Linked DNA regions of Oryza sativa Japonica Group. The main gene of each other region encodes a partner of the protein of the gene in region 6 in a complex. Links are inferred from orthologs where the notes say so. Each region holds a gene or a part of one and is shown on either strand. Other genes may lie near its edges.

Region 1 (4,053 bases), on a different chromosome or scaffold from region 6:
CTGTTTCACTTTAATACCCCAAATAGGTCTAACCCAAGGATCTTCTCTCCCATACATAAGAGATATGGGAATACCCTGCCTTTGGCACCTGCAGATTATGAAATGTAAAAATACAAAATCGTATTTTGTAAGCAACATGGCAATTCATCAAATAGTATATCCAGTTTACCTAGATAGAGCTTCTTCGAAGGATATTTGTCCCTTTGGAGCACACATAATGGATGCAAATGATGCAGCAGCTGCTGGATGTTGTGTTGTCTCTATAATACGCGAGAACACCATGTCCACATTCGTTGAGTGGTCAGCATATACTTGCTTGAGTATGCCCTGTATACTTCTTGGATCACTTATTTTCTGCCACCTGCACCAAAAAGATATTAAATGAGATCCACCAAATTTATATCACCACATGGATAACTTGCATAGTTCTAAATGATGCAGGGACCACACAATTGCTATTGAATAACAGCTTGTTTAATCTGTTAAAACACCAATACATTGCACAGCCTACCATCCTAACATGAGAGAGGAATGACAATGTAAAAGGAAAAATAATGGCAGAAAATGACATACAGAAATATACTTTATATCTAGGTGTGATTTTATAAAAAAACACGTTTTTTTTTTGAAAAAACAATTATTAGCTATACTTATAGTACCATATGCAAACTAAACATAGTCTAAATCGTTTCTTCACTGGTGAAGTATGCAATCAATTTCTGTCAAAACAAAAGGTAGCAATCTACAGATGCTATGCCTTGCTACAAGTATCATAAAACTTTTGCATTCCATGCATTCATTATAATGAAAAAAAATAGTACACCAATAATTAGCAGAAGGGATAAATTTAAGATTATTCAATATCAATATGCACATGTGTTTCCCAAAACCTAAAGGGTAGCACATACACTGTTTCAGTAAGTTTCCTCACAAACGATGGAAGTGGAAATGTCCCAGCCCATGGAAAAATCTTCGACAAGCGAGGAGATGTAGCAGGGTTGGGAAGGAATCCCCAAAATGGGGTTGCATTAAGTAATGTGACACCCTTTACAAGGTGTGGACAGGATGCAGCAAGATATAGAGAAACAAAACCTCCCAGAGAGTTCCCCACAATATATACTGGTTCACCAATAACCTGAAAGAAGGTTACAAAATTAGCATAAGAAACATATGATATGAATCTCATGGTAGGACTGTTATGGATAAGTAAACTTAAGAACTTTGGCATTACACATAATAACACAAATGTCAAACCTGCTATATGAGATTGGGAACAGGGCTCCTTTGCTCTCTATTCTAGATACTGGAATAAAAGAATGTGTTACAAGTGTGTGTGCCAAAAAACAGGGCACCTGCTTTGGGCAACATAACGGTTCTTATATTCTATTAACCGAATATGAAACGCTGAAGTTTGTGAGATTCAAGAATCTTCAATAACTAATAAATAGCTATTATTGCAGGCCCTTCAAAGAGTGCAAAGCATACTAGGATTTGTGAACTAAAGATGATATTTTTTTAGCAAAGTAAACATAAAACTACACAGAAAATAGTTGAAAGAAGTACCTCTTCAATAAAATGCTGAACTTGGTCACGCCACAAATCTATCGAATACACCAACTCCTCCGCCCATGGTTGTAATTCTTGTCCAAAACCCCAATATGTGTCCTCATCTAGCTCTCCTGATGTGCTCTTAGGAGCAGGATCTTCACATGGCAACGACATGCCCTGCCCTAGAAAATCCATTGTCCATACTTTGTAATCACGGCCAAGATCCTTCAATTGCTTCTCAAAATGGAACGTTCCCACTCCAAAACCTGGTAGAAAGAGCACAGACGGTGCCTTGCTATTGTCTATGCCAGACTTTTCATAATATACACTCAGCTTCGGCTTCCATTCCCAGAAACCAGTACTAATTAGAGAGCTTTCAGGTCCTTCTGGCAAGCTCGGAATGATCATCTTCTCGATCTCACCGACTTTCTTCGGGATCCCTTGGAGAGCTGCATCGACATCACTTACATAGAACCCATGGCTCGCATGAACTTTCCCAGAATCAGCAGGATTCGAAGCTGTCCCTGACCGCACACAAAGAATTGCACTTCTTGGCCGAGTGAGCTTTGCATGCCCTGGACCAAGACCATTCCCCGGAAACCTCCAAGCACTGCTAGGTGTTCGGTTAAATGCCAAGCAGGAGTGGCTGGAAGAAACCACTTCCATGGCCACACTAGTGGCTAGCACGCTAGTTCTGCAACAGATAAACCGAAAGATACGTTTAAAAGAGCGAACTCGAAAAACTGAAACCAAGAACTATCAGCCTTCAGATTAATTTGATCGGGAGAACCGAAACCAAAATTTTAACTGTATCAAACAGATGGGTTAAGTTCTCGAGAATAAAACTAATCTACACAGCGAAAATGAGCTTCGACCAGCCAGCAAACCAATTCCAAATCCAGCAATTCATGCGAAACCCGGGAACTGTTCCCCGCACGAGTAGTACACACATGCCAGGGAGTCCCCAGGAAGAAAAAAAGACATAGCAAACACCTAATTACAGATTACTCTCTCCTAGTGAGAAATCGGTGAATCATACCTGAAAATCGACACCTATTTCTCAGGTGATTTGGAGAAGAACACTTCGCAAAAACTAAACTAGTAGAACTGCGAGCTCAGAACGGAGAGGGAGCGGGCAGCTGAGCTCGCTTATAGGGCGCGAGATGCGATGGGGAGGGGCGGAGGTGGGAACCACCGCGCAGCGAGACGGTTCCTCCGGCGACCTCGTGGTCTCGCTTGCCCATGCGTGCACGTCATCCTCGGGTGGACGAGAGGAGTGGAGGAGGCGAGCCCAACGCTGCGCGGGGGCCAGCACGTGGACATCGTCCACCGTGAGCCAGCGAGCCAAGGCCAAGATCCGCCTCCACCCGGTCTGCCGGACTAGCGTAAGCACGTGTCGAACTCGGGCTTCGAGACAATGATGGAACTACTATGGAGGAAGGGGCAGGCCCGGTCGGTTCGTTTGTTGTGCGGCCTGGTAGTTAGGAGAGGTTTGCAAGCAAACGCGCGGAAAATGACCGGGATTTTGGCCGTTTTGCGGAGAATTCCAGGTATTGACGGCAGCGCGTTTACTACGCGATGCACATTGGGTAGTATTGGATATTTTGCAGACTCGTCGTACGAATTCAGAGCCATTTTATCGGGGAGAGAAACGCGTGGTAAAATTCGAGTATTTGCTTCCGTGCTCCCGACGGGTAGAAGGAATTGAGCCATGTTATCTAGCGAATATAGCGGAGGAGAATTGCAGCCGTCTAAAAAAATGAAAGCTTCCAGATGGAGGAAAAAAAAGAAGGAAGAAGAGAGAAATTATTAAATCCCATGAATAAGACTATCAGATTTGACGTCGTAAGTGTTGGGTACGCTCAGATATCCACCACCTTAGCACCAACCGATCCAGAGGACAGATGTTGTTGGACCTACTTCTCTGCTTAGATCTGGGTGTCCCGACGCTTGCCATGCCATCCATGTGTAAGAAGAGATGGCGGTGGTAGAGAGCAAGGAGAAGAGGTCGAATCGGGCCATTTGATTAGCTACAACATCATGTGGTTTTAGCTAAAGTTATTAGGAGGCTTAAGCCATGTTTAGAAACATTAGTACACTATTGGGATAATTAATGCTTCATCTATAATTAATTATGGCCATTTAATAATAGCTCACAATGATTAATCATTATTAGTTAATTAATCTTAACAACTAAAACCATATTCATGGTAGGTTGTGAGCATATGGTTTTGATGGTCGTGCTCATGACAATTAAGGACTGGTTCACGAGCTACTATTGTGAAGCACTAATTGTACTAACCACAAGCCAACATGGGTAATAGCTAGGTTTGTAGTATAATACATTCAACAGGAGACACCAAGGTATGTTGTTGTTCTTTTATCGTGGCAGACAATAAGTCCACAAGTGGTAGGCAATTAAGTGCTGGGTTTGTGGTATGCTTTCTCATTCATTCATTGTCTCAAGTGTACAATAGTGAGACTCCTCCCTCTATTTATAGGCAT
Region 2 (4,057 bases), on a different chromosome or scaffold from region 6:
CTCAAACACTCCTTGGCCCTGGCTCTCCCCTCGTCGTCATTATCCAGCAGTCAGAGAGTGCTACTACACTAGCAAGCGGTTGAGTGCACGCATAAAGAATTCCTCAGCTTACATACGGCCAGACAAATCACCTGTACGTTCAACTGTTCCACCAGTAATGACCACACCTCCTACGCGTCAACACTCGACACGCGGGGGCCACTGACCCGTCCGGGTCAGCTCAGTTGCGTGTGCGTGCCAAGCATTCCGTGCACGCAGCAGCAAGCACGATCGCTCGCATCGCGCGCACGGGAGGCATTCGCACGGCTGATTTACCTGAAACACACGTACTCCACTCCTCTGCGATTTGGCTGCCGCGCGCGCCCGCCTTGAGAGATCGATTTCCAGCGAGTTAGTAGTTACCGTCGACGACGACGACGAGGTTGATCGAGTTACTACCTGTTGTTACCGTGCGGAGATATTTCCGGACGGTGACAACGAAAATATCCTCGGTTTTGCTCACGCTCCATCTGGGACAGCGAGGGGTTGGTTTGGGGGAGGCAGAGAGAGGAGGGCGACCCCAAAAAGCTAAAGCAAAGCGACGACGAGGAGGACGCCGACGAGGCGGCCCGCTGCGGCCACGTGGCGCGTGGCGCCGGCGGGGATGAGGTTGCTTCAACGTGTGGCCACCTCGTCTTTGTGCTTGCGCCTTCCCCGCAACCTAGATCTTTTTTTGTCCTCACCCAGTCACTCGTCCGAACACTTGTCTAATCCTCTTGCCAAACTAAAATTAAAACGTGCAGCATGATAGTAAAATTAACGCTGTCGTGCCAATAATTTCTTGACGACAACGACATACTACCTCCATTTTTTAAATAGATAACACCGTTAGACTTTTTCTCACATGTTTGACCATTCGTCTTATTCAAAACATTTACGTAATTATAATTTATTTTGTTATGAGTTGTTTTATCACTCATAGTACTTTAAGTGTGATTTATATCTTATACATTTGCATAAAATTTTTAAATAAGACGAATGGTCAAATATGTGAGAAAAAAATCAACGGCTTCATCTATTAAAAAATGGAGGGAGTATAATGTTGAAATTAGAGGTAGATAAATTTTGGGAACGAAATTAGGAATGACTTATATCTCAAATCATAATTATGGTTCAGTTTAACCCGATGGATTTGGACCTGAACGTAATTTCGAAACTTCCCAAGGGTATTTCACCAAGCCGTACGCATTATTTAACCGATGGTGAAGTGGTGAGCACACGCCCTCTCCTAAAACCAAGGAACCCAACCCCACAAAAAAGCGTAGGACGCCGGAGTGCGAAATCCTTATCCGCTCGCGGCGACGCCATGGCCGCCGCCGCGGTGGTCCACCTCTCCGTGCACGGCCGCCTCCGCCGCTCGCCGGAGCTCCACGCCCGGCCATACCACCGCCCGTCGCTGCTCCGGTGCCGCGCGTTCAAGCAGGAGGCCGATAACGGCGGGGAGGAGGCTTCGTCGTCGCCGCCGCCGCCGACGACGGCCGAGGCGCGGAGGCGCAGGAAGGGCCCGCTGTACAAGCTGAAGGCGGCGATTCAGGGGCTCGCCGGGTCGCGGTCGGCGGCCGCGGAGGCGTACGGGGGCGAGTACCAGCGCGCCGTCGAGAAGGCCGAGGAGATCTTCTTCTCGGTGAGCTCCATTCCTGAACCCCCTCAAGCTCCCCCGCAAGCGCAGTTTCTCTACATGATAATATGATAATATGTTTATGGCCGATTTTTTCATCTGATCGTGTGATCTACTAGTACGACTGCCTTTAATTGTTGCCACGTATCGGGAGGCTCAACCACTCAATGCGTTAGCGAGCGCTACTACCTTAATCAGCTCTTGCTTAGCTGCATATGGGAATTGCACCCATCAGATGCTACAGCTACAAGTGAGTTTAGGCGATCTATGTTGTTTCAATGGGTGTTAGGATCCAATACACTAGCTGTGGCACAAATCGATGAGCTGATCAACACTAATCAGCTTGTTTCTTACTAGTAATACAGTAGGCTCCAGTTACTGTGAAATTCTGTAATGTCAGTTCCCTTTATGTTTATGTGCTGGAGAGCAAATTCTGCCTGCGCTAAAATTAATCGCAGGCCTGTGAAGCAATTTGCCTGGGCAGAGGATGCGGCTCGTAGCCAGAGGTGTCATTTTGTGTAGCCTTTGTTGCTTTTGAAACTATTTTAAACTTCTTTGAAACTCGCTCTTGATTAAATTTACTTCGCCCCTCATTTATATGGGCCTAGATTCTCTGGTTCTTGCATCTACCATTGTATGGGGGGCATGGGCTGCCAGGCTCATGGTTTTACATGTCCGACTGTAAGTGCATGCACAGGCCTGCTTTATAGTTCAATTGAATTGCTTCCTAGGCATGCTGATTCTTTGTATTGATATAAATAAAATCTCCGGTATCGGCTGATTCTCTAACCTAAGCACATCAGTAATTTTCTATTTGTTGCAAACCTGAACAGAGTGGTTCTGAATTTATCACTACTGAGTTGTAGGATCAACTCCTTTTCTGAAATAGGTGTTCTTTTTTTCAAATTGACTTATTTCCTTCTCCTTTTCAGGTTGCTACGCAAGTAGGCCGATATGTTATCACTATGATGAGCAGCGGTGTTGTACTTGGAGTTGGATTTCAGTTATCAGGTTAGTTACATTCATTTGATATATTGCATTGCCTTTGGATACTTCTGTTTTTTTCCCTACAATGGGCATTTTCAGAGTTTCAGTAATGACCTAGCTACCTTTCTATTTAGGCGGAGACAGCCAAATGAATACACTAATTTGGTATAGTTGGCTCGGGGGAGTAATTATTGGCACGATGATAGGTGCAAACAGTGTCCTAGAGGAACACTGCAAAGCTGGACCTCGCAATGTTGTCATAACTGGAAGGTAACCCATTTTGCATTCTTCCTTTCACATGCCATCTGAATCTTTTGCTAGGAAGCATGCATACTGTGAGTACAGGTCAAAGGTAATAATCAAAACTAATGAATTTATTCCTAGATAGGAAATACTATTTCACCTTCTATTATTCTCTATTTTCTTATTTGATGAGTGGAGTATAACCATAACAATCACCAAGTTTATACGGGTTGGTGCATAGAGGAGATTATGAGGTGCAGTCATATGAACAAATCATTAAAGTAACCTCATAAACATGTTAATATAAACATGACTTCTCATTGCATCAATTGTGAGCTGATTTCTTATTAGTATCCATGTTCTGCAATCAACATTGAAGTTATAGTTTGATTTTGGCAGCACAAGAGGATTAGGGAAAGCACTTGCTCGGGAGTTCCTTCTTTCTGGAGATCGTGTTGTAATTGCTTCACGCAGGTGGTACTCATAGACATGTAGCTCAATGTGTGTTGTTGTTGCATATCCATGATATTCTTTTTATGAAATGCAATGCGTTGTCCTAGTTTTAAATATCCTATTTTTTGAAGGCAGCCCTGAATCAGTCCTTCAGACCATCAACGAGCTTGAAGAGAACATACAGGAGGGCTTGTCAGTTGCGAAAAAGAAACAGAGAGAAATTTTGCTACATGCCAAGGTTGTTGGTACATCATGTGATGTTTGTAAACCAGAAGATGTGAAAAAGTTGGTGAACTTTGCCAAGGATGAGCTTGGATCAATTGATATTTGGGTAAATAATTTACTTTTACATATCTATCCCCATCATTTATTCTGCATTATTTCACGGTAGGGTACTCAGTTGGATACTTGGATTGAGTGCACAAGTTTTTGTACTTATAACCTTTTTATTTTGTTCTGTACTGTGGCATCGCAGAATGTACTTAACATGTGCTATTCTTCTTATTCTTATGTATAGATAAATAACGCTGGCACAAACAAAGGTTTTAGGCCACTGGTAAACTTTTCAGATGAAGATATTTCTCAGGTACGTTAATTATCTTCGGAAAATCAGAGTCTTTTCCATTCTAATAGAGTTCATAGAACTATATTCGTCATGCAACCTGACTTAGTTATTTCATCTTATTTTTCTTTCTGCTTAGCCTAAACAACATTATT
Region 3 (3,982 bases), on a different chromosome or scaffold from region 6:
TTTGACAGAGTTAGTCAGGAAGATAGAGTATGGACCAACTATCATGTCATATTGTCATCATATCATTATGGTCTTGATTGTAGAATCTAATAGCCTAAATTGGACTTTGTTTTGCCTTTAGAGTCACTACTGGAATGACATTAAGTAAAATTTGATCTTGTAGGTTGAATAGAACAACATTAGTTCTGATTCCTTTGAAACCAAACTAAATTCGAATTGCCTAGAAAGGGGATGAGGTAAAAATGCTCTGGAAAAAATGACTCCAAGTTCATGTCCAAGGCAAAAGATATCTGCCGTAATCACCCATATGCCTGTATAGGTTTTGAAGGGCAGGGGACAAGACACAGGAGCTAGTGACCCAAAAAAAGGATGCATAGTGTGCACAAGAGATAGATTTACCTCAACCAACGCAAGCGTATTGAGATTAGGTGATAATGTTGGCTTCACACCTTTGGCTGCAATAACTTCATCTGGCGTCCTACGAGATAATAGTTGATCAATCAAATTTTGCTTCAATTCTAGCAAGCATGAGCAGCACAAGTAGTTAATCAGTAGACTGGAAGCAAGGTTTTTACTTTTGAGTGATTCTATGGTCCTTGAGGAGATACCGAGAGGTACCTCATCTTCTATCACAGATATTGGGAAGTGCCAAAATTTATACTACAAAATGTGGTATCTCATGTTACCTCCTCATGGACCATAAAACCATATAAGTGTAAAATGCAAATGTACTTTAAGTAAGAAGTTGTAAGCACAAGCCATATGAAAAAAAAAAAAATCTGAAGTAGCAAGCAACCATTGTCTTAGTACCTACCTGGCTAAAACAGGCATTGGAGCAAGCCTGTCATCTGGGTCACTGCAGAGGAGACAAACAACAGTTTTCTCAAGACCATGAAAAAAATCCTTTTGCAACGGAAAGCAATTATGTAATATTTGATTGTTGTTTAGGTGCCTTTGTACACAAACCACAGCATCAACCATATTTGCCTTTAGCATCTCAACCGCAATCGTTGTCACTATTCCTGTCCATTGGGCTCCTGCACAAATTACTTGGCCATTAATTAGCATATATGTAACCACAATCTTGTGGCCTAGAAAAAAATGGTGGATAAGGAGCAAACCTTCAACAGGTTTCATCTTCCTGGCATATAGGAGTTGCTCATACACTCCGAAGTACATCTCATCCATGTCTTGCTTCCTGCCCCTCCCATGGACCAATGGCTCCAAATCCTACTTAAATGTGATTTGGTAAGCTAGCTAGCTTGAAAGAAATAACGCATGCATGAAGGAAGGAAAGACTAGCATGATACCTCGACACGGGACATGCCATCTCCTAGGAATGCGCAGGCATTCTTGACATGCGCAATGTAGTAGGTGTCACAAAGCCCACATTGGCTGCAGTGGTCCTTGGCTGGGTAGACGCCACCAGGAGGGATGGCCTTGGATCTCTCCCTCCAATCCTCCCGCAGCGCCCTAATTGACCCGCAACTCGTTTTCCTACCTCGGCATTGATGAGAGGACGGAGACGAGGGTAAGACAGAGGACACTGAGCAGCAGGGCGGTTTTGTGGCACATGGCAAGGACGAGGAGGTAGACAGGAAGGAGATGCACCGCGCCATGGATATTGAATAGTCAGCCTGCATGTGAAATTCACGTGGAAATATGATAATCTACCGAATGAATTAATCTACAGAATGAATTAACAACCTGCATAAAAGTACTAAACATTTTTCAAGTGTGACTTTCTAAAATTACAATGATGCACGCTACCATATAATTATTTCTAATCCTGTAGGGCAAAGGATTTTTTTTTTTGGATGAAAATAGGAGAAAGGAACTTCTACCAATGCAAGTGAATATCTGTCTCATTCCTCTTCCTCAGGCTCAGATTCTCCCCACCCACACCATCTTTCCCACCCTCAGTCCTCTCCTCTACCGCTGCACCCACTCCACCGACATACCACCCTCGCATCTTAACAGCACCATAGTCATCTAAAACCACCACTGTCTGTATATATATGATGCTATGAAGTAACCTACTTTCTTCTTCTTGTTGCTATATAGAAGGGATGAAAAAAAGAAAAACGCTCATTTAACTGGCTAGGTAGCTATTCAATCTTCCCAAGTGCTGTATGGAAGATCTTGTGTTAACTCCCTATTTATTCTCTAGTATAAGTCGCGTAGATGCTGCCCGAAACTCACCTAAGCCATCAAACAAGTTTGCATCTAACCTGAATCGATGGCTGGCATTCATCTACAAATCTACGATGTCCCATACGGGGTACTTGTCGCCCTATTTCAAGTGACATGCAACAGATGCACAGTGCATTGCCTAAACCAAGAAAATCTATTTTGGTGGATAATATATATGGGAAATCTCATCCTTACAAGCACCATCATACGTTCTTATATAGTTATACGGTCCATAAACCATATCATCAACCAGTGGTTCAACATATCAGCTCCAGGTACCCTAGGTACCAGCCGTGCTAACGCTAGAGCCAGGGGCGGATCCAACTTGGGAATTTTGGGGGAACAAACAAACAAACTGTTACTACTTGTATTAAGAGAGGCTAAGGCTCTGAAATTAACGAGGAGAAGAGAGCTTCTTCCAGATCTAGAAGAGAAGCTAGGGTTAACGAACGAACGCAAGCAAATTCCAGTCCCGGTGGGAGAGAGAGATGAATCAGAAAGAGGCTCACCAGGATCCCCTCCCCTCCCCTGCTCTGCTCTGCTCGTCACCTCCCCTCCCCTGTTCAGCCGCGACTCGTCTTGGCGCAACGAGCGGAGGAGACGAGACGGGAGATTCTTTCTTTTACGCTACCTTTATCTCAACATTTTTCCTTATGATGACGAGTGGGCCACGTATTAGCAATACTATGAAAAAAAAATAAATTACTCAACTCGATTAGGGATTATGTCGAGAACAAACTCTTCGTACCACCAGCAATTACTAAGGCCCCGTTTGGCACAGCTCTACCTCCCAACTTCAACTTATCTGGAGCTGGAGCTGTGCCAAACGGTCCAAATCCTCCGTTTTTCAGAGCAGAGTTAACAGAGCTACTCCACAAATTTGTACTAGGGGTGGAGCTGAGTTTTTGCTACTCTACAGCTCCACTTCACCCCAAAAGACCCACTACCCTTTAATTTTTAGCCTATTTTCACAAAAATGCCACCCAACTACCCCTCCACACCTCCTCTCCCCCATTCTCTCTCATCCTCCCATCCCCCTCCCGATCTGCATCGGCGGGTGGCGGCGACTGCGTCGGCAGCGTTGGCAGGAGCCAGCGGCAGCGGGCGAGCGTCGACGGCGAGTGGCGGGCGACGACAGCGTGGGCGGCAGCGGTGACGACGAGTGGCGGGTGACGACAGCGTCTGCGGCACGGGCGACAGCGGCAGCGGGCGACAGTAGCAAAGACAACGTCAGCGGGGCGACGGCGAGCGACGGCTACATCGGCGGCGGCGGGCGACGGCAGCATCGGCGGCGGCCGGGACAACGACGGGCGGTGCGCCCGGGACGGCGCATGGGCGGTGCGTGGCCAGCGGTCGGCGGCGCGCCTGGGGATGGCCAGCGACTGGGTTTTCTTTTTTTATTATTATTTTTTTTATTTTTTTCAGATTTATAGCTGAAAGCTAGCCAAACACTTTTCAACAAGTCTCTAACTCCAATCAGAGCTAGCTCTCACTGGAGTTGGAGTTTAGAGTAAAAATAGGAGTTGGAGTTTGGAGCCCTACCAAACGGGGCCTAATTATCATTCCACGCATCGCCACCAACCGCTCTTTCTCCATAAGCCACTATCGTTCCTCCTCTTCGTCTTTGCATGCACAGTCGCACCCTCCAGTTACCGACATGTATTTTCTCCTCCCCCATCGTCATGCACACTATTATCACAGTTGCCATTGAGGTCAGGGTGTCGAGCTTACTAACTCAGGAGGCACGAGCCGACCCAACGAAGAGCGGAGACGCTAGATCCGTGCTCCT
Region 4 (3,647 bases), on a different chromosome or scaffold from region 6:
AGTTCTCATATATAAATAAAAAACGAATTCATTCAGTGATTTAGAGACAATGACAAATCATTTGTTGGTTGCGGATCATCTCACTCAACCACACTTCAGTGATTGAACATGGGTCGGGGCCCCTATTTGACAAGGGAACTGAACCCATTTCATTGACCTTCGAACCGCTCTTGCCCTCCCCTTTCACTTCCATAGTGGTCTTCTTTGGCCGGCCCACTCATTTCACTCTCAAGCTCTCTGAGAAGATTCAAGATGTTTCGAATTCTCCTTCAGTAATATGGCCCCCACAATAATTAGAGGGGGGAAAAAGGAAAATGAAGAGCTAGTGGACTGAGGAAGAAAGCTAGTGTGCAGCATCTGGCCTTTTGTGAGCTTTGGGCCTTGGCCCATGGAGCGATAAGCAGCAACAGCAGTGAGTGATCAGCAGTAGCAGATGGCCTCAAGTGTATTAAGGTTTAGGTGGTGTGTTTAATCTCCTGAAGATAAATATAAAGATGAAGATTAAGTGTTTCACGCAAAACGATGTAGTAATAATATATGATTAATTAAGTTTTAATTATTACAAACTTGAAAAATGGATTAATATGATATTTTAGAACAACTTTCATATAAAAAGTTTTCCCACGAAACGTATCGTTTAGCAGTTTGAAAAACGTGTCACGAGTATCCAAAAGTTTATCCAACTTTTATTGGAGAAAAGAATAGGGCATAAGTATCACCTCGGTTCCCAAGCTTATGCGCTACATGGTGAGCTGCCCAGTCATTAGCATGGTACTTCCTCCGTTTTATATTATAAGATTTTCTAACATTACCCACATTCATATATATGTTAATAAATCTAGATATATATGTGTCTAGATTCATTAACATTTATATGAATATAGGGAATGCTAGAAAGTCTTATAACCTGAAACGGAGGAAGTATAAAAGAAAAAAACCAACTCATGTGGTGTTTGCGAAGGAGGGACTAAACTAGTCATTTTTGTGATTCCCAAATACCACCTCAATTGGCATTATCTCACATTTCAGTAATGCAGTGTCCGTAAAAAAAACAAGGCATTTGCAAATTGCAATAGATAATGTCTTGGAATCTGATGGATTTGTAACAGCAGCTTTCAGATCTCTCTTTCAATCATCTCCTATGTATATACTGCACTAGTTACAAAAGTAAAAGAGGGATAGTTCTACACGTTCACGGAATCCTTCTCACTCCCTCTCGCTCACATTCATCTCTCGCTCCGTTCGTCCACGCGTCGAACACCTCGCCGTGATCCAATGCTCCAACTCCGCTCGCCGCCGCCGGCGACCAGCTCGCCGTCCTCCGCCGTCTCCTTCCCGACCCTCGCTCCTCGCCTCCTCCCCCTCCGCCGCCGCCGCCGCGGCGCGGGTTCCCAGCTCGGGGGCAAAACGTCGAGCGCCGTGCGCGCGTCGTCGGCGGCGGCGCCGGGCGCGACGGAGCCGGAGGTGATGGTGGAGGTGGCGCACCGGGAGGTGGCGCGGGCGCTCGCGTCCCTGGCGGAGGCGCGGCTGGGCGCGCGGCTGCTCCCCTCCGCCGTGCCGCCCGACGTCGCCGAGTTCCGCAGCGGCGGCGGCGCCGGGAACGCCGTGGGCTCGCTCGACGTGCGCCGCGGCGCGCCGGGATCGACGGTAATGGCACCCCTCCTCTCACTTTTGCTCGTCAGATCGTACAGATTTACCTGTTCTGTCGATTGGAGAACATCAGAATCAGTCATATGAATTAGTGAAATGGTAGTGGTAAACTGGTAATGTCTAGAGCACCATCAGAATCAGTCATATGAATTAAGTAGTGAATCATATGAATTAACTAATTAAGTAGTGAAATGGTAGTGGTAAACTGGTAAAAACAGGCTGGCACAAACAGAGCAGAATAGATCAATGGCATGTCAAAAGACTTGGACAATTTACTGAAACTGTTTTACACTGAAAAATTGCTGCCGAACTATTTGTGATTTGCCCTATCAAGGTGAACTTGCAAACTTTTAGAAGCCAAGATCCATAATCCAACTCTTCGGAGCAAATTATGACTTTTCATTATATTGGCAATGCTCAAATTAGTTCATTTGCTTCCAATATCGAAATGGAAACAATTGGTCTGTTCTAGAGTTTGTACCTCATTCGTGATTCTTCCTATCACTCACAGATTTTGTTTCCTCTCCAAAAACAAAAAAACAAAATCACTCCAACTGAACGGACACAATTGGAGTGGCCAAAATGATCAACAGCATTCAAATTATGAAACTAATCTCACCACTTGAACACCTGAATTATGCTCCCTAGTGCTCAGTAGCTTAGCGTGGTAGAATTTCTTGAGTTCTGCAAGGAATGACAAATGGAGTTAAATTATTAATTTTTCTTGTCTACAGATTGATTTCATGCTCCAGTCCTCACTACACTGCAAAGTCCCAAATGGCGCAATCGACATTACATCTCTTCTCATCTTTCTGAACGCCTCGACAGATGCTCCGCATTTCCTCATGGAATTTATACAAGGTAGCCCAACTTCGATCGTGGTGCTTCTGGACCTTCTCCCACGGAAAGACCTTGCGCTCCATCCCGAATACATAGAGAGATACTATGAGAATACTCAGGTGGACAAACAGCGTGAGAAGGTCGAAGAATTGCCGCAGGCCCGTCCATACCGATCGCGATCCCTCTTCGTGCGCAGCACCTTCTCACTGACAGCAATACTGATGAGCATCGACTGTGGGCAAGGAGGAGAGGGTACCTTGGAAGAGATAGTGCGTGGTCAACTAGCAACAGCTGCTAGGGCACTTCTTCAAATTTGGCTTGATAGTTGTGCTGATCATACTTCAGAGATGGAAGAAGGCGAGAGAGAAAACATGATAAAGAGGGACCAAATTGTAAGGTCCAAGTCAATCGAGGTCGACCTGACTTCAAATTTGCCGAGGATGTTTGGTCCCGATGTCGCAGACCGAGTCATAGCTGAAATCCAGAAGGCCTTTGGGGTACAAGAGGCCTAGCTTTAGAACTGTGACCAGGAATTCATCTGTACATCATTCGAAAGTAATGTTAGTAGTCTTTTGTCCCTTTTGCTTGAACAATCAGATATATTGTGTGATTATAAATTTATAATTGCAAATACCATCAGATGTCATAATTTTGTCTATACAATTATACAAACCAATGTAGTGTTGGTTTTCATGCCGATTTTTTACTCTAGCCGTTTCAACCCAAATCTCGGCCTCCTCTAGAGATACATCGATGCCCTCATTAAAAGAAAGTGCCCAAAAAGATAATATAATTTATAAGTACCAGTAAACTGATTTCACGGGTGGTTTCCTCAATTTCTTAAAGAGAAAGGACAGTCAATTATTTTATTTTACAAATGTATTACTAGTTAATGGATAACTTTACATACCGTGTTTACATATTCTCATCCCATTAAAAATTTGCGATGAATCTAACTGCCTAATTTCATAGATCAACGCACCAGTTTATGACAAAATTGAAATGCTATCAATCAGAAATTCACTAACTACCAGCCATACTAATCCTGGCTCCCTACAGCTACTCGCAGCTCTAGAAGCACACATGGCACAAAACATAAACTCCAAGTTTTTTGGAGAGTTGTTTTTGCCTTCTCTTTTCGGTTGAAATACACAATT
Region 5 (4,214 bases), about 24 Mb from region 6:
CCACAAAAGCACTAGTTACCAAAATATAATTATATTTAATATCGCTTGATACCCCCAACCCCCCAACGCGCGCGCGCGGGGGCCACCGCAGTGGTGTAATTTTTTCATTTGGTTGAAACTACTGATAACAGTACAGTATATGTCTATATGGAAGCCAAATTCAGCACAGAAACTTATGAGGCACAGTTATGTGGAATCATAGGTACTCTCCTATTAGCAATTAGCAATAAACTAAAAGGACATAATACATGATGTGAAATTTCATAGCTTCATACTGTATGAGAATTCAAACATAATGATATAATGATTGAATTGCACATTGAGTGTCTACATTTTACTACAGAACAGAACAAATGGAAATGCATACCTTGGGGTTGGCCTTCCATCAGAACCAGCACCATCGATGTTAAATATGTGGCCACCTCGAGGTTGGTTTCTCATCATATTTATTGCCTAAGATGGCAAGATGGCAAGAAGATGAATATTTGGAAAATGAATCTTCACAGTTGTTGTAATGAAATTCAGAAAGCTAGTATGAGTTGAAAGAAATACCTCACGACAACATATCATTAATCCAAGAGTGTTAGTTGTGATCACTTCCCTATTAAATCAAAGAAAGAGTGGAGTTTGAATATAGCTTGAAAGCACAATTGAATGTATTTGGTCAAGCCATAAATAAAAAGACAGCATGAAAATTACATGAGAGCCTCGTCGGAGGTCTCGACCAACGGTTTGTAACTATATGCATTTGATCCAGCATTGTTGATCTGTGCCAAAGGAACACAAAGATAAGGAGAAAATCCTGCCTTCTTATGGTTCTAGATTTTACCCAAAAAGATTCAACACTACATAACTGAGTGCTTCAATTAAATTACTGAAGTTTAAATATTCAAAAAGGGTAGCTGAGAAATTTCGAACACTCATGAGTATGTAGTGAGAATCAGCATAACTTTATAGCCAGTGATTTTCATATTTGTACATATGAAAAGAATATAAACATGAGTAAGTTCATGTGCAGATATTTGATGATGATGGGGTGATTATGTACCCAAATATCAATATACTTCATCTTGTCACGTGCAAAATCAACTAGTGCCTTTACATCCTTTCCTTCCCTAACATCACAGACAATTCCCTGCAATAATACAAATAGAAGCAGTTCAGTTGCATAAGTATTATTGCACTGTAAAATTTTCAACAAACATAATTATAAGTGGAGACTCCAATGGCAGTAAAAGTATCAAGTAGCTCAGCAGTAGGAAGTAGGTACCCACACATGTTGCTCTCCAAATTCCTTTTTCAAGTCAGTCACCGCAGATTCTACCCTTTCAGCTGTAGAGGATAGACTGCATGTCAAGGAAAGGCTAAACTGTAACTTGTTTGCTTTTTTTTTTTTCATTCTCTCACTAAAAGTGGGCTCAAGAAAATCCTAGCAATCCATTTGTTTATTCATTTTAAAATTTCATGAAAGATCAATTTAACAGGTCAGTCATATCAAGCAGATGACCCCTATATAGAGCACCTAATGAGCGATAATGAGCATCAAATGACAAAAGCTGGATAGTGCATATTTTAGTGTTAGGTCAATGGATCATCCAAATGAGAAGAGAGGAAAATAAAGAAACAGGTAAACGAGACTTGACCATGCAAATCAATTTGCAATGCATCTTAGGCTCGATAATTTATCCAATTTTATTTATGTCATCACTCAAAAATAATTACTAAAACTAGCGCTACCTATTGAAAGCACAAAATCATTTCTGTACCTGATCTTGAGCAGATTACAACATTATCGCCAGCCTTCAAAAATTCCTTTGCCAGAGCATATCCTATACCTGTTTAAGAGCAAACAAGGGTCATTGAGTTGTACTACAAAGGTTTTTGAAACAAGCTTCCACAAAGGAAGCGTTTAGGAGATATACCTCTACCACCATTGACCAAAAGATCTAATATGTCAGGATTTAAATATTTTTTTACCACAATACAGTATCAAAGCAATTGCTCCACACAGTTTCAAGCTGATTTGCATTGTTTGATTAAAAGGTCAATGCCGAATGCACTGATGTTCTAGTTCATTTTGTCTTCTAAATTGTGTACTAGAAAGTAGGAAATGAACTAATTAAGCAGGTTCTTATGCTGGTAGCGGCACTACCCACTTCCACCCCTACTTCCAAATTGGTGTTGCTCTCTTCTCGGCTACATAAGGCACGAAAAAACAACATCGCCACCACACCACACCCTGACCATCTGAATTATTTCCAACACAAGCATTCAGAATTTCAGAAATATCGATCACCACCAGTTCCTATATGCTCCTACTAAATTGCATCCCAACAAAAAGCATCCACAGACATCCTACTTCTTTCTTGTAAGCAAGATCAAGCATGCGAAGCAACACGACGACGAGGGGGGGAGAACTCAACAACACCTTTCGTGGAACCGGTGATTAGAACATTATACGGGGGCACCATGGCCGCCCTCCGCGCGACCCCTCCACCACCAGGGACAGCCTCCGCGCGGATACCGGCAGCCTCCGGCCCGCCTCTCGCCGCAAGCCGGCGCCGCGCCGTCCGGCCGGGCAACCGCGCCCCAGCAGCGGCCGAGCCCGACGGCCGGAGCGGAGCCAGGCCCACCTGCGCCTGGGCACGGAGCGGGAGGTAGGCGGCGGTGGCCGCCATTGCGGCGGTAGCGAGACGAGGGGAGGGGAGGGGAGGGGAGCGGAGTGGAGAGGCGTCGTCAACTGCGGTGCTCGCCTTGCCGGCTCGCCGTCGCGGAGTCTGGATAACGATTAACGAGCGAGGATTTTAGAAGGGAGGGGGCCTGCGAGTTAAGTACGGATGTTAAGAGGTGGAGGTGGCCCACAAGTCAGTGTGAGCAATCATCCTTTCTCTCTCTCTCTCTTTTAAACTACTAGTAGTATGTACTAGTACTATTTTGCAAGGTTTTTTTAACTATTATATGCATGTGCTTTACAATAGTTTTTTTTTTCGAACGCGCAAAAGAATTGCACGTCAATATATTAGTAGGAAAAGAGTTTTTGTTACACAAAGCAATCAGCCAGATTGGCTTATGCCTAAAGGGGGGACTTGAAGCTAGGAACTACTACGACGGTTAAAAACGTAATTCCAAACAGCGGGAGGGGGCAAAGCCACGCTACACTCCCAATAAATCCCCAAAAAAAGCAACGCCGACTAAAGACCACAGCTGGCCCTCCGAGCGGATGGACTCCAGAACCACTGCGACCGAAGCGAGCGCAGAGTCGAAAACCCTGGAGTTTCGTTCCTTCCACAGCTACCAGGAGACTAGGAATACCTGGAGTCGAAGCTTTACAATAGTTCCTTTTATAATAGTTTCTTTTCCTTTCTTATAGTAACATGCAACGGACTAAACCATATAATTAGGAATTGACTGGATGAGTGAATTGAGAATAAAACATGGGCTAAACCATATATAATTATAAATTGGGAAGAATGTATTGGATCCTATATAGTTACACACCTATGAGAAACACATGATGAGAAGGGGATGAAAGTAAGATGATTATGCTTTGTTCTAGACTCTAACTCTAAACTTCAACTTTTCTCGTTTTTCGTTAGAACATTTCTCAAACTGTTAAAAAGTGTTTTTTTAAAAAAAAATATAGAAGTTTTCTAAAGGATTCAAATGGACCAACTTATCAAATTTATAATAATTAATAATTAATTAATTATGGGTTAATTGCTTGCTTCGGTTTTTATGCTGCTTAGAAACTCAGTTAGTTGCTTGGCTTTGAGCAGGGTGTTTCAGTTTTACAGGTAAGGAACACTTGGGATTTATGGACTGTAGTGTTAGTGCATACTTGATTCATAAGTTAGACAAAGGGAAAATGTGGCTACTGGGAAGAAACGCCACCCTTCTCTTGTTGCATCTGGGGTAGTGATTACACGTGTCCTGGTAGTAATTAGTAGTACTACGATCGATATGTTGCCGTTGCTTCTGCACTAGTGATACTATTAAGTCTCGATCAGTTCGTCGCTGTCACCATGCCACTCTCGCGGTGAGCGTTGCTTGCTGGTTTGCACATGCTGGCTGTACATCGCATATACTCCCAACCAAATTAATTGTAGTATCCTTGTGCACTGCATTTGCAGAGCATAATATTCTGTCTTGATCTGCATAAGTTCGTCCTCAGCCTCAGTAAACTCTTTGCATACACAACCTGACAATCACTTCAT
Region 6 (4,278 bases):
CTGACCAGTAACAGGTCAGGTAGCTAGCTATCTAAAGTCAGCGCTGTACTAATGCCAAAGCTCTCTCAGAGTTAGCATCAAAGCCACACACTTGTGATGGATCTCAATCTCCCCATCTAGGTTTGCACTAAAGCTCAGGAGGGAACGAAAAAAAGAAAGAAAAATTGCCCCCATTGCTGTCGAGCTATCTGCAGGGAATAGCTTGGCTTTGGTTTGGTGAAGATTTACCGATCGGCGCCGGCGGCGAGGAGGATTTTGTGGAGATTGCAGGGGGGGGGGGGGGGGGGGGGAGGGGGTCTAGGAGTATTCCTTCACCAAGTCAGCAAGCCCATGGTCAGTTGGTCACACTCCAAGCTCTACATGTTCGAGGACATTTACATTGGGCAGGTGGATTGCAGCCTTATGATGATTATTGTTTTGTGCTTCTACCATCTTGTGGCTAGCATATGACAACAATGGACTGCAAGATTGCAAGGTGAGGCTTCATGGCATCTGTTAACCTCGAGCTTAAGTAGCGCATCGCAGTGGGAGGCCAAAGGTTGAGCACGACGATGGGCAGAGGACGAGGTTAAGCAAGGTGCATACCTCCGGTGCAACTTGCAACCATGGTAAAAATATGAGGCCCAACATGCAATTTACTCATAAATAAATGCCATAGTAGTATCAAACGGTTCTGGATCACAAAGTGCACTGATGGGGCGCGGGCGGTCAAAGTTCCGTACACTGCCTGTTCATGTCCACGGCGCCGAACTGCCGAAGTGAACCCAGAATCCAATGGGCGGACCGGCTCCCACAAGCCGGTTGGGTTCGTGTCATTCTCACGAGTGAGTAGAGGTGGCCAAACGGGCGGCCCGGCCCGGCACGGCACGGGCACGGGTCCGGCACGGCCCGTTTCGGCACGGCCCGTTAGGCATGGCTCATGAAACGGGCCGTGCCGTCCCGACCCACGTGCCGAGCCGCCGGCCCAAGCACGGCCCGTGGATGGCCGGGCCGTGCCCGTGCCGGCACGGCATGCGTGTGGCCCGCCGTGTCAGTACGGGCCCGTGAATGAAAAATGGGCCGTGGACGGGGCACGGTTGGCCCAGGAACCGAAATGGCGCGGAGGGATGCGATGCGGACTTGCGGAGGTGGCTGGCGGGCTGGGCCATCAGCTAGGAGGGGTGCTCAACGGACTTGCGGAGGCGGCTAGCGGGCTGGGCCGTCAGTTGGGAGGGATGAGATACGGACTTGCGGAAGGATGAGATGCGGACTTACTACAGTAGCCGTGCCGTGCCGTGCCGGCCCGCGGGCTCGGCCGGCGGCCCAAGCACGGCACGGCTACTCGTGCTGTGCCGGCACGGCCCGTTACTGTAGCAGGCCGTGCCGGGCCGTGCCGGCTACAGGTTCCGCCGTGCCTCGGGCCGCCCGTTTTGGCCCGGCCCGTTTGGCCACCTCTACGAGTGAGTATACCCAGGGAAGTTGGCCGCCGCTGCGTAGCCGAAGCTCCACCACACGACACCCCGCAAAACGCCATGCGTGCTCCTGCTGCACACTTGTCCCCCGCCTCCTCCGCCGTGCCGTCACGCAACCACGGACTCCTCCTCCACCTCCGTTTCCTACTCTCTTCTTCAGTTTCTCACCTCTCCGCACGAGAAAATTCGAATCCCCCTTCCGGCTGCTGGTTTTCGTGCCAGAAACAGGCGATTTTACCAGTGCCAGTTAGCTCTCGCCTTCCTCCTCCTCCATCGTGCTACTACTCTGTTCTTCTGGAAGAACACTGGTCTCCTCGCCTACCTCAGTCACCACTCACCACACCAGGTGCGAGCTATAAAAACCGGCACGCCAAAAATCTTCAAAACCACACAGAAACCTCAGATCTCCGAGGCTTCCCAAGCGAGTCGACGAAAATGCCCGTGATGGCTCCGACCGCATCTCTTCTCCTCTCCCCGAGGCCGCTGCCGGCGAGCCGCCGGGTCCCCTCGCTCCCGGCGCTCTCGGCTTCCGGTCGCCTGCGCCTCCGCCGCGCCCGCGCCGACACACGGCTCCGCGTGGCGGCGCCGCCGTCCGTCCCCGGGGAGGCGGACCAGGCGCCCGGGGAGACCGAGCCGAGCACGTCGTCGGCCGACGAGAAGTTCGTGTGGAGGGACCACTGGTACCCCGTGTCCCTCGTCGAGGACCTCGACCCCAGCGTGCCCACCCCGTTCCAGCTCCTCAACCGCGACCTCGTCATCTGGAAGGACCCAAAATCCGGCGAGTGGGTCGCCCTCGACGACCGTTGCCCCCATCGCCTCGCGCCCCTCTCGGTATGAGTATCGCCACGCGCCCTTCCAATCTCTTCCTCTTTTGCGCCAATTTTGATCCGATTGAATTCACGGCGATGATCTGGATGTCTGTGTGTTCGTAGGAGGGGCGGATCGATGAGACGGGGTGCTTGCAGTGCTCATACCACGGCTGGTCATTCGATGGCTCCGGCGCGTGCACCCGGATCCCGCAGGCGGCGCCCGAGGGGCCGGAGGCCAAGGCTGTGAGGTCGCCGAAGGCGTGCGCGATCAAGTTCCCCACCCTCGTCTCGCAAGGGCTGCTCTTCGTGTGGCCCGACGAGAATGGGTGGGAGAAGGCCACGGCTACCAAGCCTCCGATGTGCGTGTATATTCTGGATTAGTGGTTTATTGATTGAGTTTGGTTAAGGTCGTCGGTGACGAGGTTTGATCCTGTTTTTGATTCCAGGTTACCGAAGGAGTTTGAGGATCCTGCGTTCTCCACGGTGACCATCCAGAGGGATCTGTACTATGGCTATGATACATTGATGGAGAACGTCTCTGATCCGTCGCATATAGAATTTGCTCACCACAAGGTAATGCTACATTTTTTATTTGAGAATGATCAGTTACTTTAATGTACTGGCACGCAATGCTAGTCCTGGATATTGCACATTTGAGATATGAGGATGGTTTGTTGTGTACCGTACTTGCACATCATACCTCAATTTGGTTTTAGTAGTTCTATTTTTGGTTGAATCTCTTAACAGTGGCTTCTGGTGGACTATGATTGCCAATGTTTTGTTTTGAACTGCCTGTTGCACCTTGATATGAAAATGTAGCTGCAGCATCGTTCAGTCTCTTTACTTAAGCTACTGGCTAGTGCTAAAATTGAATAATACTTACTTAATCGAGGCTACTGTATTAACTGTCTGTTATGGATTCATGGTACATGGACTAGAGGTATGATTCATTATCTAAGATGCACTTTCAGTAAATCCACAACTTAGACCATTTGTCTTCCCTTCATTATTCATGGAGCAAAAGTACGATTCCCATGGCCAAAGAAATTGGTTAACTAGGCAGCATTATCCTTGCCTCAAAATTTAACTCCTCTCACAGGTCACTGGTCGAAGAGATCGAGCCAGGCCTTTGCCATTCAAGATGGAATCAAGTGGTGCATGGGGATATTCAGGGTCAAATTCTGGAAACCCTCGCATCAGTGCAACTTTTGTGGCCCCTTGCTATGCACTGAACAAGTATGTTCAGCAAAACACTCTAATCATGCCTTTTCCCATTTCATTGCATTTGCCTTTTGATGTGAATTAGCTCATATATCAGTTTCACATCCAGTAACTCCACTTATGATTCTGATCTTTTAGTATTTCGTTTTTTGTAGAATTGAGATAGACACAAAGTTACCCATTTTTGGAGATCAGAAATGGGTCATATGGATTTGCTCTTTCAACATTCCAATGGCCCCAGGGAAGACTCGTTCTATAGTTTGTAGTGCTCGGAACTTTTTCCAGTTTAGCATGCCAGGAAAAGCATGGTGGCAGGTATCTGCAATTTTTGTAGCTCTCTCTATTTACCTCCTTTTCAATCTACTTGTTAGTGCCCTTTTTAGGAAAACAGCAGTAAAGATCCCCGCTCTATTAAAAATTAGAGTGAATTTTATGCTCTCATTATATCCGAAAGTATAAAGTAAAACCCTGAATCCCCTGTTCTTATACATTTGCTTCTTTGTGTATGTGATGCAGCTTGTCCCTCGATGGTATGAGCATTGGACTTCAAATTTGGTCTATGATGGTGATATGATAGTTCTGCAAGGGCAAGAGAAGATTTTCTTGTCTGCATCGAAGGAGTCTTCTGCAGATATTAATCAGCAGTACACAAAGATCACGTTTACACCCACGCAGGCTGACCGTTTTGTTTTGGCATTCCGGGCATGGCTAAGGAAATTTGGTAACAGCCAACCTGACTGGTTTGGAAATCCTAGCCAAGAAGTGTTGCCTTCCACTGTCCTTTCAAAGCGTGAGGT

What was found.
Region 1: pheophorbide a oxygenase, chloroplastic-like (region 6) and pheophytinase, chloroplastic share a complex: the UniProt entries of both Arabidopsis thaliana proteins name them as parts of the SGR1-CCE-LHCII complex. The link is inferred for Oryza sativa Japonica Group from reciprocal best matches to the Arabidopsis thaliana genes ACD1 and PPH.
Region 2: pheophorbide a oxygenase, chloroplastic-like (region 6) and probable chlorophyll(ide) b reductase NYC1, chloroplastic share a complex: the UniProt entries of both Arabidopsis thaliana proteins name them as parts of the SGR1-CCE-LHCII complex. The link is inferred for Oryza sativa Japonica Group from reciprocal best matches to the Arabidopsis thaliana genes ACD1 and NYC1.
Region 3: pheophorbide a oxygenase, chloroplastic-like (region 6) and 7-hydroxymethyl chlorophyll a reductase, chloroplastic-like share a complex: the UniProt entries of both Arabidopsis thaliana proteins name them as parts of the SGR1-CCE-LHCII complex. The link is inferred for Oryza sativa Japonica Group from reciprocal best matches to the Arabidopsis thaliana genes ACD1 and HCAR.
Region 4: pheophorbide a oxygenase, chloroplastic-like (region 6) and red chlorophyll catabolite reductase 1, chloroplastic share a complex: the UniProt entries of both Arabidopsis thaliana proteins name them as parts of the SGR1-CCE-LHCII complex. The link is inferred for Oryza sativa Japonica Group from reciprocal best matches to the Arabidopsis thaliana genes ACD1 and ACD2.
Region 5: pheophorbide a oxygenase, chloroplastic-like (region 6) and chlorophyll(ide) b reductase NOL, chloroplastic share a complex: the UniProt entries of both Arabidopsis thaliana proteins name them as parts of the SGR1-CCE-LHCII complex. The link is inferred for Oryza sativa Japonica Group from reciprocal best matches to the Arabidopsis thaliana genes ACD1 and NOL.

The regions. Positions count from the first base shown.
Region 1 is NC_089040.1:14,710,846-14,714,898, reverse strand, and holds the start of pheophytinase, chloroplastic, read right to left. Parts: upstream 2,801-4,053; 5' UTR 2,588-2,800; intron 2,243-2,587; 5' UTR 2,215-2,242; coding exon 1,564-2,214; intron 1,136-1,563; coding exon 909-1,135; intron 362-908; coding exon 170-361; intron 89-169; coding exon 1-88. UniProt on the Arabidopsis thaliana protein: Alpha/beta hydrolase dephytylating specifically the Mg-free chlorophyll pigment (pheophytin), yielding pheophorbide. No activity on chlorophyll. Belongs to the chlorophyll catabolic enzymes (CCEs).
Region 2 is NC_089035.1:7,033,609-7,037,665, forward strand, and holds the start of probable chlorophyll(ide) b reductase NYC1, chloroplastic, read left to right. Parts: upstream 1-1,257; 5' UTR 1,258-1,345; coding exon 1,346-1,663; intron 1,664-2,589; coding exon 2,590-2,668; intron 2,669-2,778; coding exon 2,779-2,914; intron 2,915-3,286; coding exon 3,287-3,361; intron 3,362-3,475; coding exon 3,476-3,671; intron 3,672-3,857; coding exon 3,858-3,926; intron 3,927-4,057. UniProt on the Arabidopsis thaliana protein: Involved in chlorophyll b degradation. Belongs to the chlorophyll catabolic enzymes (CCEs).
Region 3 is NC_089038.1:14,944,139-14,948,120, reverse strand, and holds the start of 7-hydroxymethyl chlorophyll a reductase, chloroplastic-like, read right to left. Parts: upstream 2,801-3,982; 5' UTR 2,703-2,800; intron 1,638-2,702; 5' UTR 1,620-1,637; coding exon 1,311-1,619; intron 1,231-1,310; coding exon 1,122-1,230; intron 1,038-1,121; coding exon 953-1,037; intron 857-952; coding exon 815-856; intron 479-814; coding exon 400-478; intron 1-399. UniProt on the Arabidopsis thaliana protein: Probable iron-sulfur flavoprotein that converts 7-hydroxymethyl chlorophyll a to chlorophyll a using ferredoxin as a reducing equivalent. Catalyzes the reduction of a hydroxymethyl group to a methyl group. Belongs to the chlorophyll catabolic enzymes (CCEs).
Region 4 is NC_089044.1:13,537,302-13,540,948, reverse strand, and holds red chlorophyll catabolite reductase 1, chloroplastic, read left to right. Parts: upstream 1-1,175; 5' UTR 1,176-1,275; coding exon 1,276-1,647; intron 1,648-2,384; coding exon 2,385-3,002; 3' UTR 3,003-3,147; downstream 3,148-3,647. UniProt on the Arabidopsis thaliana protein: Catalyzes the key reaction of chlorophyll catabolism, porphyrin macrocycle cleavage of pheophorbide a (pheide a) to a primary fluorescent catabolite (pFCC).
Region 5 is NC_089037.1:26,388,996-26,393,209, forward strand, and holds the start of chlorophyll(ide) b reductase NOL, chloroplastic, read right to left. Parts: upstream 2,801-4,214; 5' UTR 2,679-2,800; coding exon 2,429-2,678; intron 1,836-2,428; coding exon 1,767-1,835; intron 1,333-1,766; coding exon 1,271-1,332; intron 1,136-1,270; coding exon 1,049-1,135; intron 768-1,048; coding exon 700-767; intron 602-699; coding exon 553-601; intron 454-552; coding exon 368-453; intron 1-367. UniProt on the Arabidopsis thaliana protein: Required for chlorophyll b degradation. Chlorophyll b, chlorophyllide b, pheophorbide b and pheophytin b can be used as substrates. Belongs to the chlorophyll catabolic enzymes (CCEs).
Region 6 is NC_089037.1:2,583,873-2,588,150, forward strand, and holds the start of pheophorbide a oxygenase, chloroplastic-like, read left to right. Parts: upstream 1-1,478; 5' UTR 1,479-1,511; coding exon 1,512-2,282; intron 2,283-2,383; coding exon 2,384-2,619; intron 2,620-2,706; coding exon 2,707-2,833; intron 2,834-3,359; coding exon 3,360-3,496; intron 3,497-3,636; coding exon 3,637-3,796; intron 3,797-3,997; coding exon 3,998-4,276; intron 4,277-4,278. UniProt on the Arabidopsis thaliana protein: Catalyzes the key reaction of chlorophyll catabolism, porphyrin macrocycle cleavage of pheophorbide a (pheide a) to a primary fluorescent catabolite (pFCC). Works in a two-step reaction with red chlorophyll catabolite reductase (RCCR).